Danio rerio: one gene and its partner. The protein of the gene in region 2 purifies or fractionates together with the protein of the main gene of each other region. This does not show direct contact. Links are inferred from orthologs where the notes say so. Each region holds a gene or a part of one and is shown on either strand. Other genes may lie near its edges.

Region 1 (3,836 bases), on a different chromosome or scaffold from region 2:
CCTGGCATTCACATCAAAGAGCTCAGTTTTAGTCTCATCAGACCAGAGAATTTTGTTTCTTATGGTCTGAGAGCCCTTCAGATGCCTTCGGTAAATTCTAGGCGGGGAGTGGCTTCTGTCTGGCCACTCTACCATACAGGCCTGATTGCTGGATTGCTGCAGAGATGGTTGTCCTTTTGTAAGGTTTTCCTCTCGCCACAGAAGAATGCTGGAGCTCAGACAGAGTGACCATATGGTTATTGATCACCTCCCTGACTAAGGCCCTTTTCCCCTGATCACTCAGCTCAGATGGCCGTGCAGCTCTTGGAAGAGTCCTGGTGGTTCTAAACATCTTTCACTTGCGGATGATGGAGGCCACTGTGCTCATTGGAACTTTCAGAGCAGCAGAATTTTTTTTGTAATTTCCCCAGCCTTGTGCCTCGAGACAATCCTGTCTCGGAGGTCTACAAGACAATACTTTTGTTAATCGATTATTTTGAGCATCCCTAATTAAACCGCACGCGCAGGCTCAGTGCCGGAACTCTTTAAGCTCTGAATTTAATAAATTGTTGAATGCAATACTGGTAATATTATTAATCTGAAATATTGATAAAATGTGCTTTATATTTCAAAGTTCTTGTTCATTCATTTATTTTCTTTTCGGATTAGTCCTTTTATTAATCAGGGGTCGCCATTCATACAAATACACTACGGCCAATTTAGCTTGTTTAATTCACCAATACCACATATTTGGACTGTGGGGTAAACTGGAGCACCTGCATTAAACCCACACCAACACAAGGAGGACATGCAAACTCCACACAGAAATCCCCACTGGCCCAGCCGAGGCTCGAACCAGCAACCTTCTTGCTATGAGGCGATCATGCTACCCATTGTGCCACTGTGACACCCAGCATCAATATTTTTTTTTAGAGAAGCATAGTAAAATTGTTGAACTAACACAAACTATTTTTATTTTAAGTTTAATTCAAGCATTTTAAACTACCCAAGTTTGTTTTTAAGTACTTTCAAGGCCTTAAATCCAAATGTCTGAAACTGAAGTACTTTCAAGGAGAGTGGGAACCCTGCTCTCTGAATACATCCCATCTTTCCCAGCAATGCAAATACAAACAAACACAAATACAATCAATGTTGCTTTGCTCTCAGTATAATGTTATTGGCTTAGCTACATAGGCATCCAAAAACATTGAATCCAATGTGTGAGCAGTATGCCGTGGTTTGCAAGATGCTGCTGAGATTTCAAGTTGTAATAACTGGTTCACCATTGTGTTCATTGCTATTTCAAAAATGCAGCTCAAAAGAGTTTTTATTTATCTTGTTTGTCACAGTAGCCCTGCCCTCAGCACCTAACGCAAGCCTTTCTTTCTTCACACCCAGCAGTGTGGCTATTTAAGATGCTACTATTTAAGAACCACTCCAGACCAGCACTCAAAATGCTTTTGTAGATTAGGGGGTAATGGTGTTATTTTAAATGTGTAATTTAGCGCCACATTCCATGTTTTGGCTGCTTACCATCAAGCTCTTTCTCAATGAGGTCCATGCGGCCCGACAACTGGTTCTGAATGTCCTCTATGTGTGTGAGCAGGTTCATCTGCCACTGCAGGCAGTTCCTGGTCTGCTCCACACTGCTGTCATTAACACATCCAGACAGAGCAATGGCACTGCTGACCTACACAAACATAACACACAGCAATTATCTTTAAACATTCTCTTCCACATACTGACACTGAACAGATATGAGTTTTAACTGTCCTTTGGATACCTCTTCTTCCTTTATGTTAAACTGAGAGCCCATTTGCATCCCCTGCTCATCTCTTGTGTGCTCGGCACCAGTCCCAGGTGGTTTTTGGTAGCTGTGCTCACTAGTAATGTAGGTTTCAGGGTTTGAATTCTGATTAAGGTGCTCTTTGAAATGTAGACCGTCTGGAACTCCACCCATAGGCTGGTCCTCATCAGAGTTTACCCAAGACCGAGCCCACAAGTGTAAACTTGGGTTATGCTTGTTCCTTAGAAAATGTGAAAAGCATATTATAGTTCCTGTTTTTCTTCTATAACAGAAAAAATATTCAAAGACCAGTTTATATGGGGCCTATTACGCTTGTTTGCTGTTTCCTTTAGTGCATAATGGTGATGTTTAAGAAAAAAAGAAAGAAAACCATTCTGATGGAAGTTGTTCTCTGTATCACTGATATCGTAACATCACCAATATCGTATGTATCTATGAGCACTGCTTTTAAACTCAAACACCTTAACTGTAGTGCTGTGTCTAGTCCACGAAAACGGTGTGTGTGCTTCCAACCAAAAAGTTAAAATTAACACATCCAGAAAAGCAAGATATAACAACTGATCAATTTTCCAATTAAAATGTCACAGACTTATTTTTATGACAACAAGAGCTTTTTATGACAACAAGAACTGTGCGCAACAATCTCTATGCATAAAATATCTAGTGACAGTTAATTAGTTAACATCTAATTTAAAGGATTAAGCAGGCTTCTGGTAATTGCTCTTACTGTAAAATATCCATCTTTAGCTGAAGGCCATGGAGCAGGTTTTTAACACTGTAAACATCAGCCAGCAGCTGGTGAGTGGACACGATTTTCTTGGCATTCTGATGCGAGTAGTTCTCGGTGAGGAAAGACAGGCCGTACATGTGGCCTTTTTGAAGCCAGTCTTTATCATGGCGGTACTTTGCGCTCCACCTCTGACCTGAGAAAAGAGCATATTTTAGTAACAAATCTGGAGACATTTCAGTTTAATATTTAGAATTCATTTTATTCATTTAAGGAATAAAAACAGACATTTGTAATAGCAGGATACAGTTAAAGATCCTGCTGACAATTTTCAACTGTTGCATGATTGTTACCTGGAGGGTCTCTACAGATGTAACAGATGTACTGTTCAGGGATGCTGTCCTCCAAAAGCCCCATACATACACTGTGCTGCCAGCACATACATTCTTCACACTGTAAAGTGATACGCAAAAAGACAAATACACATTTTCAGGCACTATTTCAACACATTTAAAGTGACAGTTAACCCATTATTTTTAATTGTCATCATGCTAATCCCTCACTTCTTCATTCTGTTGAATACAACGGAAGACATACTGAAACTGTTGTAAAAAAGCCATTAACTTCTACAGTATTATTTTCTTTCTATTATGGATGTCAACTAAATGCAACTTAAAGCATTCTTTCGAATATCTTGTACAACAATAATAATTGTAATATTAAACAGAAAAAAGAAATCTATCAAGTTTAGAAGCACTTAAATTTGGGTAAAAGCTAAAGAAATTTCAATTTTTGGGTGAACTATCCCTTTAAGATTTGATGCCATGATCCTACCTGAATCATGAAGCCATTTTCTTCATCCATCTCGCATATGCAGCGAACAATTTCATCAGCACCATCATCATCCTCATCCTGAAAGTCCTCCATAGTGATTGAGTCTAGATCCTGGTTATACTCATCTCCACTGAACAGTAAGCTCTCAGTTGTCGAGTCTTCCAGGAAGTCGATGTCTGAAAGGTCTGCGATAGGAAAAGAAAATAAGAGGCTCAACATTACCAATATCGTATTCATGTTGACTACTATCTATTATAACAAGCAAGTCAAATTTTACAGCCACAAATAACTCCACATGACAAAACTCACTCTCCCCGGTGAGGTCGACAGATAGTATGGCACGAGGGTATTGGAAGGTGCTGTGCTTGAAGGCACTAGAGGAAGAACGATGCGGTGGGGAAGACGGTCTCTCCAAGTAAGCCAACGACATCTCATCCAGGTCTGGGTAACCTTAGCACAAAGGTGAGAACAAACTGAAATATTTGTAAC
Region 2 (2,736 bases):
GTTTTAAATGTCATATTTGCATTAAAACTATTGCTCTAAAATACTTAAAACCCCTCTTAGTTCTTCTCAGTTCCACAGTATTAGTTACCAAGTTATTGTTGCTTAAGCTGAAGGGCCATTCTTTTTCCATTTGACCCTCTTAATCTTATGTATATATTCTCACTAGTGTATATAGGGATCAGCTTTCAGCTAAAAGCCAGACAGGTGCTGCATGTGCAATAGGTAATCCTGTACTGCCTAATGAATAATTCAGCAAAATGTTTCTTGACTTGCAACTTTTTCTTTTTAACATTGTCACATGGACACGATGGAAGGTTTGGTCTAAATATTAAACTACCCTGAGGCCAATTTAAACTGCTCAGACAAATGCCAATACCAACAAACAAGTGGCCCATTGGATGTAGAATGTCGCTGAAAAAACAGTTCACAATCGCCACACACAATAAACACAGTAATTAATGAATACTTCCTATGGCTAAATAGTAATTTTATGTAAAGTTTTACGTCAGTTTGTTGGAAAATCATAATCACACTGCTCAGACATTCCACCATTGGTGAAAATAAACTGACCAACAGCTGACCAAATGAAAATCATTACAGTCTGATCCAGCAAAATCTGACAGACTTGTTTGTTGCCATTGGTCTGTGCAGTAAGAAATGGCCTTTACAAAACAAAGATAAACTAAAGTACCACAATGATAAAACAAAGATGATGAACAATGATGTGAATATTACTATTCATTTATTTATAAAAAATAACAGACTCAATACAATGCGAATGTACAATCGTAGACATTTTCCTCTTGGAGAAAGTATTTCTACATGACATTTAGGTGTGAAAAACATCAGGGGTGAAGTGGCAGTCGTACTCTCCTCTTTACCGTTCATACTCCTCATTTTTTGGAGAACTTGGCCTGCTTGTGTTTTGGAGGTGCCCATTTCAAACAATGTGTGTCCACTGTAGAAGCATAGAAAGTTAAACGATTAAACTTTGGAGAAAAAAGAGGAAGGCTGCCCAGTTCAGCATTTGTTTTTCAGATGTTACCTGTTATTGGAGGTTTCTTATACTGGGCACTTTTCAGATGTTCCTCTACGAGTTTGGGAGTGACACAGATGACATGCTGACCTTTCCAGTACTTGACCATGTTCAGAGACTGTAGTGTGCTGATGATGTCACTCTGAGTGATGCTCGTCATCTGACTGTGGGCGCATTATGCATTAGTTGGCAATCATTAACAAAACCTTGGTAGTAAATTAGCAACTTTTTTTAAACGATTGCATAATGATTGTCTAAAATAAACACTCACCAAATGTACGTAAAAACTGTGTAAGCATGTATATAATACAAGGAGTGTAGAAAATATATTAAAGAGTCATGAAACCCCCTCTTTCAGGTAAAGTGTACGTCTTTTTTTTTTTAATGCACTTGATCTTCAGACAGTAAAGCGTTTGAAAGTAGCGTCTGTCAATAACTACATTTACATCCAATTGTTTTGATGCACATTTAAAAAATGCACATAAAAGATTGAGTTGATGGATTTATATTTTAGATTTTTCTGAGTGAGTTAACTAGCGACATTAGGAGAAGAAATGCTATTTTTCTTGGTGAAGTAGTTAAAGCAGGGGTCACCAATCTCGGTCCTGGAGGGCCGGTGTCCCTGCAGGGTTTAGCTCCAACTTGCTTCAACACACCTGCCTGGATGTTTCAAGTATACTTAGTAAGACCTTAATTAGCTTGCTCAGGTGTGTTTGATAACAGTTGGAGCTAAAATCTGTAGGACACCGGCCCTCCAGGAACAAGTTTGGTGACCCCTGAGTTAAAGGGTTAAATAAAGAAAAGATTCATGCAGTTTCTCTTTACTGTTGATACTTGGTGCCGGTTTATCAGGGAGCGACGATTTTGTTCTCTTTGATTTGTTGGATGGAAACGCTGCTTTATTCGCACGTCTTTAATGTGATATTCCAGTTTTGCACATAAAGTTAATTCGCATCTTTGGATGGAAACATTAAATTAAATTAAAAATAAAAAAATTAAATTAAATTGTCATGAATAAAAATTAGACAACACTTCAAAGCACTCATAGCCCTATGCTACATCACCACCAGTGATGCTGACTTGATGTAAATATTAAGACTAAAAGATGAAATTAAAGAGACAAAGCTCAAAATTACCATGTTTTTTTTCTACAATTAAAGCTAACAGATGTCTTGATAGATGTCAAATTATTAGTTGAGAGATTCATGACCCTTTATTGTCCAGTTTGATTTCACTCCTAAAATATTCGTTATAGGCCCTGATTGTTTAGGTATACCTCATAGGTCTCAAACTTAATAGTGTATATGCGGAAGTATGCTAAAGGACTTTTAATTGGTCAGTAACCTGGGTTAAACGCTTCCGGTGAACTGTATGCCATTACAAAATCGTCCAGTTTAAGCTCTGTTTCTGTTTTTAAATTATCGATATCTGATATAAAGTGAGGCTCAGATTGTACAAGAAGCACTGCATTAAATTACATATTTCCCCACCATGTCTTTAAAACATGAACATTTATTTTACCCCAGTATATTCAATGGAGCTTCTGTGCTAGCTTGTCGATTCTGATGGGATGGGCGCGTGTGAGTAAACGCCTTTTTGTCTTGTTTTACACCTGAGCAACTAAATGAATGTCAAAGTCTATTTAACTGAATGTATTGTAATTACATTACAACTTCAATACTGTAAAAGTATTGAACCCG

The links.
Region 1: the proteins of kat8 (region 2) and phf20l1 purify together in Homo sapiens (affinity purification with mass spectrometry; 3 studies listed by BioGRID and IntAct, with this or other methods). This does not show direct contact. The link is inferred for Danio rerio from reciprocal best matches to the Homo sapiens genes KAT8 and PHF20L1.

Annotation. Positions count from the first base shown.
Region 1 is NC_133191.1:34,798,559-34,802,394, forward strand, and holds part of phf20l1 (PHD finger protein 20-like protein 1), read right to left. Parts: intron 3,798-3,836; coding exon 3,657-3,797; intron 3,533-3,656; coding exon 3,348-3,532; intron 2,967-3,347; coding exon 2,867-2,966; intron 2,710-2,866; coding exon 2,514-2,709; intron 2,007-2,513; coding exon 1,763-2,006; intron 1,670-1,762; coding exon 1,513-1,669; intron 1,082-1,512; coding exon of another isoform or gene 1,045-1,081; intron 508-1,044; coding exon of another isoform or gene 1-507.
Region 2 is NC_133178.1:31,500,471-31,503,206, reverse strand, and holds the end of kat8 (histone acetyltransferase KAT8), read right to left. Parts: intron 1,201-2,736; coding exon 1,046-1,200; intron 959-1,045; coding exon 894-958; 3' UTR 725-893; downstream 1-724.